Saccharomyces cerevisiae S288C: one gene and its partners. The protein of the gene in region 1 purifies or fractionates together with the protein of each later gene. This does not show direct contact. Each region holds a gene or a part of one and is shown in the gene's direction. Other genes may lie near its edges.

Evidence for each region. The genes of interacting proteins can lie anywhere in the genome.
Region 2: the proteins of RCL1 (region 1) and UTP20 purify together in Saccharomyces cerevisiae (affinity purification with mass spectrometry; 3 studies listed by BioGRID). This does not show direct contact.
Region 3: the proteins of RCL1 (region 1) and DIM1 purify together in Saccharomyces cerevisiae (affinity purification with mass spectrometry; 2 studies listed by BioGRID). This does not show direct contact.

The regions. Positions count from the first base shown.
Region 1 is NC_001147.6:306,140-309,541, forward strand, and holds RCL1 (rRNA-processing endoribonuclease), read left to right. Parts: upstream 1-1,798; coding exon 1,799-2,902; downstream 2,903-3,402. Other genes in the region: PLB3 (lysophospholipase), read left to right, coding at 1-1,270; ERMES complex subunit MDM12, read right to left, coding at 3,185-3,402. UniProt on the Saccharomyces cerevisiae protein: Does not have cyclase activity. Plays a role in 40S-ribosomal-subunit biogenesis in the early pre-rRNA processing steps at sites A0, A1 and A2 that are required for proper maturation of the 18S RNA. RCL1 activates BMS1 by promoting GDP/GTP exchange.
Region 2 is NC_001134.8:225,798-233,692, forward strand, and holds the start of UTP20 (Utp20p), read left to right. Parts: upstream 1-1,838; coding exon 1,839-7,895. UniProt on the Saccharomyces cerevisiae protein: Involved in nucleolar processing of pre-18S ribosomal RNA and ribosome assembly.
Region 3 is NC_001148.4:37,457-40,634, forward strand, and holds DIM1 (putative dimethyladenosine transferase), read left to right. Parts: upstream 1-1,664; coding exon 1,665-2,621; downstream 2,622-3,178. Other genes in the region: PLC1 (phosphatidylinositol phospholipase C), read left to right, coding at 1-389; ACM1 (Acm1p), read left to right, coding at 713-1,342. UniProt on the Saccharomyces cerevisiae protein: Specifically dimethylates two adjacent adenosines in the loop of a conserved hairpin near the 3'-end of 18S rRNA in the 40S particle.

The DNA.
Region 1 (3,402 bases):
TTTTCCAATTTCTGTTGCGGACGGTAGGTATCCTGGAACAAAAGTCATCAATTTGAACGCAACGGTTTTTGAATTTAATCCCTTTGAAATGGGATCCTGGGATCCCTCTTTGAACTCTTTTGCCAACGTTAAGTACCTTGGAACGAATGTCTCCAATGGTGTACCATTGGAAAGGGGAAAATGTACCGCAGGCTTTGATAATGCAGGTTTTATCATGGGTACTTCCTCCACCTTATTTAACCAGTTTCTTTTGAGAATAAACTCCACTCACTTACCTAGTTTCATCACAAGATTAGCAAGACATTTTCTAAAGGATTTATCTCAAGATTTTAATGATATCGCTGTTTACAGTCCTAATCCATTTAAAGACACGAAGTTTTTGGATAGTGACTATACGACAAGTATTGTTGATTCAGACAGCCTATTCTTAGTTGACGGCGGTGAAGACGACGAAAATGTTCCTGTGTTACCGCTTATACAAAAGGAACGTGATGTGGACATTATTTTTGCGGTAGATAATTCTGCCGATATGAGATTGGCTTGGCCTGACGGTTCTTCTTTAGTCCATACCTATGAGCGTCAATTCGTTAAGCAAGGTCAAGGTATGTCCTTCCCATATGTTCCAGATACGAATACATTCGTTAATTTGGGTTTGAACAAGAAACCAACCTTCTTCGGTTGCGATGCTAATAATTTGACCGATCTTCAATATATTCCACCTCTAGTTGTTTATCTGCCAAATGCAGAATACTCTTTCAATAGTAATCAGAGCGCGTTCAAGCTATCATATTCCGAATCCCAAAGAAGAAGTATGATTCAAAACGGGTTTGAAATTGCAACTAGGAACAACTTCACTGATGATCCTGAATTCATGGGCTGCGTCGGCTGCGCCATCATTAGACGTAAGCAACAAGCTTTGAATATTACTTTGCCTCCGGAATGTGAAACCTGTTTTAAAAATTATTGCTGGAATGGTACCCTGGATACTACCCCATTACCAGATGTTGAAAAGGATGTTCACCACTCCTTTATCAACGTCAATAGCTTCAACAGCTCCATAGGACAAGAAGAAAGTCTTTACGCCGGATCTTCAGCTTCCCAGTCATCGTCTTCATCATCGTCTTCATCTTCGTCTTCGGAAATTCCTTCGGCTACTGCAACCCTTGAGAAAAAGGCAGCTACTAATTCTGGATCACATTTATCTGGCATAAGTGTAAAGTTCTCTGCTATGATTATGCTTACTTTATTGATGTTTACCGGAGCAGTATAATATCTCTTGCGTAATAACGGTATACAAAATGAGGCAATAAAAATCAAAGAACTACACTATAAAATAACGAAACATAAAGCTGAAAGACTAGCAAAATCACTAAAAAACTAAAATAAAAAAAGAAAATGAGCATTTCCCCTTTGCATTGAAGTATCATCCCTTTCGGGCAAGACCATGTTTAAGGAACTTCACTAATGACATCGGAGGTCTATATATAGCAGACCTCTTCTTTAAAAGATATAACTTTATAATTATAACCCCGCGCAAAGCGTATTAATACTTTAAATGGGTAGTCAAGTTGCTTTTATTACTTGCACTTACTTTGAAGGAGGATGTCAGAATTACCCTCGCCATATTGGTAATGTAATTTTTCACGGACTCGAGATTGAAAAAATTTCAGAAAAATTTGCAAAAAAGTGCCGATGAGATGAGCCTTCATAAGCTACGTATGTTGTAAGGGTATAACATCTGTCAAGCTTCACCATTGTCAACACTTTTCCACTAGGATAATCCTCCAAAAGTATAGCAATGTCATCTTCCGCCCCCAAATACACCACTTTCCAAGGGTCACAAAATTTTAGGTTACGGATCGTCTTGGCAACATTATCAGGGAAACCAATAAAAATTGAAAAAATCCGTTCAGGCGACTTAAATCCCGGTCTGAAAGATTATGAAGTGTCTTTTCTAAGGCTGATCGAGTCGGTCACCAACGGGAGTGTAATTGAAATTTCTTATACCGGTACTACTGTGATTTATAGGCCCGGTATCATAGTTGGTGGTGCATCAACTCATATCTGCCCTAGTTCCAAACCGGTAGGTTATTTCGTCGAACCAATGCTATATTTGGCTCCATTTTCAAAAAAGAAATTTTCTATATTATTCAAAGGCATAACTGCATCTCACAACGATGCCGGTATTGAAGCTATCAAATGGGGACTCATGCCCGTTATGGAAAAATTTGGCGTTAGAGAGTGCGCCCTACATACTTTGAAAAGAGGTTCACCACCACTAGGAGGTGGCGAAGTGCATTTGGTTGTTGATTCTTTGATTGCGCAACCTATAACTATGCATGAAATAGATAGGCCCATAATTTCATCGATTACCGGTGTAGCATACTCTACCAGAGTAAGTCCGTCGCTTGTGAATAGAATGATCGATGGTGCTAAGAAGGTATTGAAAAATCTGCAATGCGAAGTTAACATAACGGCAGATGTCTGGAGAGGTGAAAATTCAGGGAAGAGTCCAGGCTGGGGTATTACTTTGGTTGCTCAGTCCAAGCAGAAAGGTTGGAGTTATTTTGCAGAAGATATCGGTGATGCAGGTTCTATACCTGAAGAACTTGGTGAAAAAGTTGCCTGTCAATTATTAGAAGAAATATCAAAGAGTGCAGCAGTTGGTAGAAACCAGCTTCCATTAGCAATTGTTTACATGGTCATCGGGAAAGAAGATATCGGCAGATTGAGAATTAATAAGGAACAGATAGACGAAAGATTCATAATCCTCTTGAGAGATATTAAGAAGATCTTTAATACTGAAGTCTTTTTAAAACCAGTTGACGAGGCGGATAATGAAGACATGATAGCTACTATCAAGGGTATTGGTTTCACAAACACAAGCAAAAAGATTGCATAGCATGTTCTAATATTATTCAATAGATATTAGACCACTGTATATAAGTTATATATATATATATGATTATTTAGGTGTAACTTCACGGACAACTGTCTAGAGTATAAGATTACTGGAGGATCATTGATGATTTCCTTTAACTCTTTTGGGTCATCTAAAATATCATCAAAGAGCGTATGCGAAAAGCGCGTTAAGAATAGATTACTTCATGACAAAATATAATTTTCCAGCTCAAAAATGTTTGTTTTTTTATGTAGACACTATTTTCAAACTATCTTTGTTAAATTACTCATCACCATCGTTGAAATCCAGATTAATCCAACTTGGCCATGCTAACTCCTTTCTTAAAAAATCTTTGAATATCGTAAACAAAAACTGTTCTAGTTCTCCAACACTTCTTAATACTGAGCCCTGTCCCTGATATTGTTCCCCTATTTCGGTTTCAATCTTCATACTTCTCACAATGGATATTCGCTCCAATGGCTTAGTAGCTGCCAGAATTG
Region 2 (7,895 bases), on another chromosome or scaffold:
ACTGAAAAAATACCCAAACTAAACGTACCTTTGAACCCAAAAGGAAGGAAACTTAGCGCTCCAGGTCAACCAGGTCTATATATAGACCAGCAAGAACTAGAGCTAGAAGAAGATGATTACAAAATGAAGGTACATGAAATGCAAAAGCTGATAGGTCTAGCATCATATGTTGGATATAAATTTAGATTTGACCTATTATACTACATCAACACACTTGCACAACATATACTATTTCCGTCCAAGCAAGTGTTAGATATGACATATGAATTGATACAGTTCATATGGAATACGAGAGATAAGCAATTAATATGGCACAAAAGCAAACCTGTTAAGCCAACAAATAAATTAGTTGTTATAAGCGATGCCTCGTATGGTAACCAACCGTATTATAAATCACAAATTGGCAACATATATTTACTTAATGGAAAAGTAATTGGAGGAAAGTCCACCAAGGCTTCATTAACATGTACTTCAACCACGGAAGCAGAAATACACGCAATAAGTGAATCTGTCCCATTATTAAATAATCTAAGTTACCTGATACAAGAACTCGACAAGAAACCAATTACCAAAGGATTACTAACCGACAGTAAATCTACAATCAGTATAATTATATCCAATAATGAAGAGAAATTTAGAAACAGATTTTTTGGTACTAAAGCAATGAGACTGAGAGATGAAGTATCAGGAAATCATCTGCACGTATGCTATATCGAAACCAAAAAGAATATTGCAGACGTAATGACCAAACCTCTTCCGATAAAAACATTCAAACTATTAACAAACAAATGGATTCATTAGATCTATTACATTATGGGTGGTATGTTGGAATAAAAATCCACTATCGTCTATCAACTAATAGTTATATTATCAATATATTATCATATACGGTGTTAAGATGATGACATAAGTTATGAGAAGCTGTCATCGAAGTTAGAGGAAGCTGAAGTGCAAGGATTGATAATGTAATAGGATAATGAAACATATAAAACGGAATGAGGAATAATCGTAATATTAGTATGTAGAAATATAGATTCCATTTTGAGGATTCCTATATCCTTGAGGAGAACTTCTAGTATATTCTGTATACCTAATATTATAGCCTTTATCAACAATGGAATCCCAACAATTATCTCAACATTCCCCCATTTCTCAGGAATCCCAACAGTTATGACAAAATTTATCAGAATTCCCAGTTTCATACATGTTTGATATTTATAGATAATTCATAATGACGGTTTATTTATTCTGGTAAGTTATGATATCATGTAAAACGAGGCAACTTGGCCGAGTGGTTAAGGCGAAAGATTAGAAATCTTTTGGGCTTTGCCCGCGCAGGTTCGAGTCCTGCAGTTGTCGTTATTTTTTGGACAGTAATAAGAGTACGTAAAGTCAATGGAATACGTGGTAAAAGCATCACGTTTATGTTTTATTAAAAGATTGGCATAGAACTTGGCCTTCTTCGTAACGACTTATCACCCGTTAAAAGTATGCTATATGAGTTATATCGGCTGCAGTGTATTTCTTCCTGGCTCATTTAAAGCTAATGAAATGTACCTCTCGCTTCATTTTCTAAGGTAGTGTTTTGAAGGCGTATGTATGTAATGTCACCCGGACTTTTGTAAAGAAAAAATTTTGAGTTTATGTCTTTCCGAAAATTTTTACCGATGAGCATTGAAAAGTTGCATTATTAAATTTGGTAGCGTAAAAACCACCGATTAAACAGGTAGTGTAGGTTGTAAATTAAAGATCATATTCTTTCCTGTTTACATCCAGTTTTACGTTGTTGGCCGTATTGGTATATTTCTAGTATCAGTTACACATATTTCATTGAAAGTATGGCTAAACAAAGACAAACTACTAAATCGTCTAAGCGATATAGATATTCTTCCTTCAAGGCTAGGATTGACGATTTGAAGATTGAACCGGCTAGAAATTTGGAAAAAAGGGTACATGATTATGTCGAGTCGTCGCATTTTCTCGCTTCCTTTGATCAGTGGAAAGAAATTAATTTAAGTGCCAAATTTACGGAGTTTGCAGCGGAAATTGAGCATGATGTTCAAACATTACCCCAAATACTATATCATGATAAAAAGATTTTTAATTCTTTGGTTTCATTCATTAACTTTCACGATGAGTTTTCTTTGCAACCGCTTCTGGACCTCTTGGCTCAATTTTGTCATGATTTAGGTCCAGATTTTCTTAAATTTTATGAAGAAGCTATCAAAACTTTAATAAATCTGTTAGACGCTGCTATAGAATTTGAGTCATCTAATGTTTTTGAGTGGGGTTTCAACTGTTTGGCTTATATTTTCAAGTATCTCTCGAAATTTTTGGTTAAAAAACTGGTACTCACATGTGATCTTTTAATTCCACTATTGTCTCATTCTAAGGAATATCTTTCAAGATTTTCAGCAGAAGCATTATCTTTTTTAGTAAGAAAGTGTCCTGTTTCTAACTTGCGCGAGTTTGTTAGATCAGTTTTTGAAAAGTTAGAGGGAGATGATGAGCAAACTAACCTCTACGAAGGGCTTCTGATATTATTCACAGAATCCATGACGTCAACGCAAGAAACTCTGCATTCGAAAGCTAAAGCTATCATGAGCGTTCTTTTGCATGAAGCTTTGACCAAATCATCCCCGGAAAGATCTGTTTCATTGCTCTCAGATATTTGGATGAACATTAGTAAGTACGCCTCAATCGAAAGTTTACTTCCAGTCTATGAAGTTATGTATCAGGATTTTAACGATTCTCTCGATGCCACCAATATCGATAGAATATTAAAAGTATTGACAACAATTGTCTTCTCGGAAAGTGGTAGAAAAATTCCTGATTGGAATAAAATTACTATCCTAATTGAAAGAATAATGAGTCAAAGTGAAAATTGTGCTTCGCTTTCACAGGATAAAGTGGCTTTCCTATTTGCTTTATTTATTCGTAACAGTGACGTGAAAACTTTAACATTATTCCACCAAAAACTTTTTAACTACGCTTTAACAAATATATCTGACTGTTTCCTTGAATTCTTTCAATTTGCTTTAAGGCTAAGCTATGAAAGAGTATTTTCATTCAATGGATTAAAATTCCTACAGTTATTTTTAAAGAAAAATTGGCAATCACAAGGAAAAAAAATTGCACTTTTTTTTCTAGAAGTAGATGATAAGCCTGAACTGCAGAAAGTACGGGAAGTAAATTTCCCAGAAGAATTTATTTTATCTATCAGAGATTTTTTTGTCACAGCAGAAATTAATGATTCGAATGACCTTTTCGAAATATATTGGCGAGCTATAATTTTTAAATATTCGAAATTACAGAATACAGAAATTATTATCCCATTGCTTGAACGTATCTTTTCAACTTTTGCATCACCAGATAATTTTACGAAAGATATGGTCGGTACACTCTTAAAAATATATCGTAAAGAAGACGACGCTTCAGGGAATAATCTATTAAAGACTATTCTGGATAATTACGAAAACTATAAAGAAAGTTTAAACTTTTTAAGAGGATGGAACAAGTTAGTGAGTAATCTTCATCCTTCAGAAAGCTTAAAAGGACTAATGTCACACTATCCAAGTCTACTCCTTAGCTTGACAGATAATTTTATGTTGCCTGATGGGAAGATTCGTTATGAAACTTTAGAATTAATGAAGACATTAATGATTTTGCAGGGTATGCAAGTACCTGACCTCCTTTCTTCATGTATGGTTATCGAGGAAATACCTCTTACACTACAAAATGCCAGAGATTTAACCATTAGAATCAAGAATGTTGGTGCCGAATTCGGAAAAACCAAAACAGACAAGCTAGTATCCTCTTTCTTTCTCAAATACTTATTTGGCCTTCTTACCGTTAGATTCTCTCCAGTTTGGACTGGTGTTTTTGACACTCTTCCTAATGTTTACACAAAAGATGAAGCCCTCGTTTGGAAACTTGTGCTATCATTCATTAAACTTCCTGATGAAAATCAAAATTTGGATTACTACCAGCCTCTTCTTGAAGATGGTGCAAACAAAGTTCTGTGGGATTCGAGTGTAGTGAGGTTAAGGGACACTATTGATACGTTCTCACATATTTGGTCAAAGTATTCTACTCAAAATACGAGCATTATATCTACTACTATTGAAAGAAGGGGGAACACCACCTACCCAATTTTAATTAGAAATCAGGCTCTAAAAGTTATGCTATCGATTCCTCAAGTTGCTGAAAATCACTTCGTCGACATCGCACCTTTTGTTTATAATGACTTCAAGACTTACAAAGATGAAGAGGATATGGAAAATGAACGTGTTATTACTGGTTCATGGACAGAAGTTGATAGAAACGTGTTTTTAAAGACTTTAAGCAAGTTCAAAAATATAAAGAATGTTTATAGTGCAACAGAATTGCACGATCATCTGATGGTACTGTTGGGTAGCCGTAATACAGACGTTCAGAAGCTTGCGTTGGACGCACTTCTTGCATACAAAAATCCAACGTTGAATAAATATAGAGATAATTTGAAAAATCTACTAGATGACACCTTATTCAAGGACGAGATTACGACTTTTTTAACCGAAAATGGGTCGCAGTCTATCAAGGCTGAGGACGAAAAGGTAGTCATGCCTTATGTCCTTAGAATTTTCTTCGGTCGAGCACAAGTCCCCCCAACTAGTGGACAGAAAAGAAGCCGCAAAATAGCTGTCATTTCAGTTTTGCCAAATTTTAAGAAGCCATATATTAATGATTTTTTGAGTTTGGCTAGTGAAAGGCTGGATTATAATTATTTTTTTGGGAACAGCCATCAAATAAATAGCTCAAAGGCTACCTTGAAAACTATCAGACGGATGACTGGTTTCGTTAACATTGTAAATTCTACTCTGTCTGTATTAAGAACAAATTTTCCTTTGCATACTAATTCAGTGCTGCAGCCGTTGATCTATTCAATTGCTATGGCATACTATGTCTTAGATACTGAGAGCACAGAGGAGGTACATTTAAGAAAGATGGCAAGTAATTTAAGGCAACAAGGTCTAAAATGTTTAAGTAGTGTCTTTGAATTTGTTGGAAATACATTTGATTGGTCTACTTCTATGGAAGATATTTACGCCGTTGTAGTTAAGCCTCGTATTTCACATTTTTCGGATGAAAACTTACAACAACCCTCCTCTTTACTAAGACTTTTCCTTTATTGGGCACACAATCCATCTCTGTACCAGTTTTTGTATTACGATGAATTTGCAACTGCCACTGCATTGATGGACACCATATCAAACCAACACGTTAAGGAAGCTGTTATTGGCCCAATAATTGAAGCGGCGGACTCAATTATTAGAAATCCAGTAAATGATGATCACTACGTAGATTTGGTGACTCTCATCTGCACATCATGTCTGAAAATACTTCCTTCGCTATATGTCAAACTTTCTGACTCAAACTCGATTTCCACATTTTTGAATTTGCTAGTTAGTATCACTGAGATGGGATTTATTCAAGATGATCATGTTAGAAGTCGTTTAATTAGTTCATTAATATCAATATTAAAAGGAAAGCTAAAAAAACTGCAGGAAAATGATACCCAAAAAATTTTGAAAATATTAAAGCTGATAGTTTTCAACTACAATTGTTCTTGGAGTGATATTGAAGAACTATACACTACCATATCTTCTTTGTTCAAAACATTTGACGAGCGAAACCTCAGGGTTTCCTTGACAGAGCTCTTCATAGAACTCGGTAGAAAAGTTCCTGAATTAGAAAGTATTTCGAAATTGGTTGCGGACTTGAATTCATACTCCTCATCACGTATGCATGAATATGATTTTCCTAGAATTTTATCAACTTTCAAGGGGTTAATTGAAGATGGTTATAAGTCCTACAGTGAGTTAGAGTGGTTACCTCTGTTGTTCACCTTTTTACATTTTATCAATAATAAGGAAGAACTTGCGTTAAGAACAAACGCATCCCACGCTATAATGAAGTTTATTGACTTCATTAACGAAAAGCCTAATCTTAATGAAGCTTCAAAATCGATTTCTATGCTGAAGGATATACTTTTACCCAATATAAGGATTGGCCTCAGAGACTCCCTAGAAGAGGTACAAAGTGAGTATGTATCAGTGCTATCATATATGGTAAAAAACACGAAATATTTCACCGACTTCGAAGATATGGCCATTTTACTGTACAATGGTGATGAAGAAGCAGATTTTTTTACAAACGTTAATCATATTCAGCTTCATCGTCGTCAGAGAGCCATTAAAAGACTAGGTGAACATGCTCATCAACTCAAAGATAACAGTATATCCCATTATTTAATTCCAATGATCGAACATTATGTCTTTTCGGATGATGAAAGATACAGAAATATTGGAAATGAGACCCAAATAGCCATCGGAGGGTTGGCGCAGCACATGAGTTGGAATCAATACAAAGCTCTTCTTAGAAGGTACATTTCTATGTTGAAAACCAAGCCTAACCAAATGAAGCAAGCCGTACAATTAATTGTTCAACTTTCTGTTCCACTTAGAGAAACTCTTCGTATCGTAAGAGATGGGGCTGAGTCGAAACTTACTTTGAGCAAATTTCCTTCCAACTTAGATGAACCCAGTAATTTTATTAAGCAAGAATTGTATCCGACTCTTTCGAAAATTCTTGGCACTAGAGATGACGAAACTATAATTGAAAGAATGCCTATTGCGGAGGCATTAGTTAATATTGTTTTAGGGCTCACAAATGATGATATTACTAATTTCCTCCCTAGTATTCTAACAAATATTTGCCAAGTTTTGAGAAGTAAATCCGAAGAATTAAGAGATGCAGTAAGAGTAACCTTGGGTAAAATCAGTATTATCTTGGGCGCTGAGTATCTTGTCTTTGTGATAAAGGAATTAATGGCTACATTAAAACGTGGTTCTCAAATTCATGTGTTAAGTTACACTGTCCACTACATATTAAAGAGTATGCACGGAGTCTTAAAACACTCCGATTTGGATACCTCGTCCAGTATGATTGTTAAGATTATAATGGAAAATATCTTTGGGTTCGCTGGTGAAGAAAAAGACTCTGAGAATTATCATACAAAAGTGAAAGAAATTAAGAGTAATAAAAGCTATGATGCTGGTGAAATTCTCGCCTCAAACATCAGCCTGACAGAATTTGGAACATTACTCTCTCCTGTGAAGGCTTTGTTGATGGTCAGAATTAATCTAAGAAATCAAAACAAACTGAGTGAATTATTGAGACGATATTTGTTGGGTTTAAATCATAATAGTGACTCTGAGTCAGAAAGTATCCTCAAGTTCTGCCATCAGCTTTTCCAGGAATCAGAAATGAGTAATTCCCCTCAAATACCAAAGAAAAAAGTGAAAGACCAAGTAGATGAAAAAGAAGACTTTTTCTTGGTAAATTTGGAGTCGAAATCTTATACCATCAACTCAAACAGTTTGCTTTTGAACAGCACTTTACAAAAATTTGCTTTAGACTTACTTAGGAACGTAATAACGAGACACCGCTCCTTTTTAACTGTCTCGCACCTAGAGGGTTTTATTCCATTTTTGAGAGATTCGTTACTTTCGGAAAATGAAGGTGTGGTAATTAGTACTTTACGTATCCTGATTACATTAATTAGGCTAGATTTTTCCGATGAATCTAGTGAAATCTTCAAAAACTGTGCGAGGAAGGTACTAAATATTATCAAGGTTTCTCCTTCAACTTCAAGCGAATTATGCCAAATGGGTTTAAAGTTTCTTTCTGCCTTTATACGTCACACAGATTCAACATTAAAGGATACTGCTTTGAGTTATGTTCTAGGGAGGGTCTTACCAGATTTAAATGAACCAAGCAGACAAGGCCTTGCTTTTAATTTCCTAAAAGCACTTGTTTCAAAACATATCATGCTTCCAGAACTCTATGACATT
Region 3 (3,178 bases), on another chromosome or scaffold:
CTACACAGTTATTGCCCAGATTGAATGATACATCGCCAAGCAGAAATAACACCAATTCCTTTGTTAAAGTGGAGTTTCATACCGATGACGAGCCGACAATGCCCATCTCAATCGATAAGGGTACAAGGATTTCTGCCACTGAAGCATCCACTAAGAGTTCTCAAGGGAATGGATTCAACCCAATATGGGATGCTGAAGTTTCTATCACATTGAAAGATACAGACCTCACATTTATAAAATTCATGGTTATCTCTGAAGAGACCCAGATTGCATCTGTTTGCCTTAAGCTGAACTATTTGAGGATGGGATATCGTCACATTCCGTTGTTTAACATGGAGGGGGAACAATACATATTTTGCACTTTATTTATTCATACACAAATTTTATAGGCGATCTTTTTCCGGCCAAATACACATATTCATAAATACGTACATATACCTACTTGCATATACCAACATGATTACCTAGAATGGATATATCAAATGGGACGACGAAGTACCACGACAATACACAATAACAACTTCTGTTTTTCGCTGATTGCCTTCTCTTCAGCAGAAAGTTGATGCATATTTCGCGTAGCGCGTTGACGCGTCTTCTTTCTGAAGTTTTGTGCTTTTGTTATCATACTATATAAAGTAAAAAGAAAGGAGAACATATTAAGCATTACTGAATTAGGATCCTTTGGAAGAAATAAAGTAAGAGACACTGAAAGATGATATCACCATCAAAAAAGAGAACCATTTTATCAAGCAAGAATATAAACCAAAAACCACGAGCAGTGGTAAAAGGCAATGAACTTCGTTCACCATCAAAGAGAAGGTCACAAATAGACACAGACTATGCACTAAGGCGAAGTCCAATAAAGACAATCCAAATTTCTAAAGCTGCACAATTTATGCTGTATGAGGAAACGGCTGAAGAAAGAAACATAGCTGTCCACAGACATAATGAAATATACAATAATAACAATTCTGTGAGCAATGAGAATAATCCTTCCCAAGTAAAAGAAAACCTTTCACCCGCTAAAATTTGCCCTTATGAAAGAGCATTTTTAAGGGAAGGAGGAAGAATTGCATTGAAGGACTTAAGTGTTGACGAATTCAAAGGTTACATACAGGATCCTCTCACCGATGAGACTATACCACTGACGTTGCCACTGGGTGATAAAAAAATCAGCCTACCCAGTTTTATAACGCCGCCAAGAAATTCGAAGATATCTATTTTCTTCACTAGTAAACACCAAGGACAGAACCCAGAGACAAAGATATCCCGTTCTACCGATGACGTCAGTGAAAAAAAAGTAGTGAGAAAACTGTCCTTCCACGTCTATGAAGATGAGTAAATAATGTACACAGTTAGCGTCTAATAATTAATTAACGATACCAATTTAATTCATTCACGTATTCCTCACCTCGTGTGTAAATTACTAACAGAGTAGTAATAATAATAAGAATCAATAATAATAATAAATCCATCCTTGTGTATTACCCGGGTTAGAGGGTAGAAAAATTTTTGAAAATCGCGATGAGCTGAAAATTGAAAATATTTGGTTATAACATAAGATCGATAAATTAGGAACAGTGCATTATACAGTGGACTCATTCGGTTAGAAGCTTTAGACGTCGTACCTTTTATATCGATACAAATAAAAATAAAATTATACCATGGGAAAGGCTGCGAAAAAGAAGTACTCCGGAGCAACTTCGTCCAAACAAGTCTCTGCCGAGAAACATTTGAGTTCAGTATTTAAATTCAACACAGATCTAGGTCAGCATATTTTGAAAAATCCTTTGGTGGCGCAAGGTATTGTTGATAAGGCACAGATTAGACCCTCAGATGTTGTTTTGGAGGTTGGTCCTGGTACAGGTAACCTAACTGTAAGGATCCTCGAACAAGCAAAAAACGTAGTGGCAGTAGAAATGGATCCCAGAATGGCTGCAGAATTAACTAAGAGGGTACGTGGCACACCTGTGGAGAAAAAGTTAGAAATCATGCTTGGAGATTTTATGAAGACTGAATTACCATACTTTGATATCTGTATTAGTAACACTCCTTACCAGATCTCATCGCCTCTGGTTTTCAAATTAATTAACCAACCAAGACCACCAAGAGTATCTATTCTTATGTTTCAAAGAGAGTTTGCTTTAAGATTACTGGCAAGACCAGGTGACTCATTATACTGTAGATTATCCGCCAATGTACAAATGTGGGCTAATGTTACACACATCATGAAAGTGGGTAAGAATAACTTCAGACCGCCACCACAAGTGGAATCCAGCGTTGTTAGACTAGAGATTAAAAATCCAAGACCGCAAGTGGATTACAACGAATGGGATGGTTTGTTGAGAATCGTCTTTGTGAGGAAAAACAGAACGATTTCAGCTGGCTTCAAATCGACCACCGTGATGGACATTCTGGAGAAGAATTATAAGACATTTTTGGCGATGAACAACGAAATGGTGGATGATACAAAGGGTTCTATGCACGATGTCGTCAAGGAAAAGATTGACACAGTTCTGAAGGAGACCGACTTAGGCGACAAAAGAGCGGGTAAATGTGATCAAAATGATTTCCTAAGGCTATTATATGCTTTTCACCAGGTTGGTATCCATTTTTCATGAGCTCTCTTATCAATTATGTAAGTGCTTGTATACTATTTACCTAAGATAAGAAAAAAAAAAGCAATTCAAAATTAAGCTTATCTTGACAGCGGGGCTGGTTTGTTTCTAGAAGACAAAAAGTGGGGAATCATTTTTACGTAACTCCCCCTGATAAGAAGGACTCACATCCTTATAGGTACGATAAAGAATGGTTGTATCTTTCCTATTTTTCGAAATCGTTATCTTATATAGTTGAACTACTACGGTTAAAAAGCTTAAGCCTCAGCCCTCTTAGTCAAACTTCTTTTTTGAAGGCACCAGGGTGCATAAAAGTGCGTCTATTGTTTCCCAGTGGAACTCTGTTGAGATAGCGATGTTTGTTTTTTTTTCACTTAACGGCAACCAATACCGATAGCGACGTCGCTGGCAGTGTAGAGTGGCCGTACGGCGTCGCTAGATGGCACGGCACTGATTGCGGCGGGAGTCGCTAGGCGGTGATGCATTTCCGCACAGGGACCAGAGGAAGCTTCCCAGGCGGTGACAGTAAGTGAACTCATTATCATGTCTTCTCCAAAACA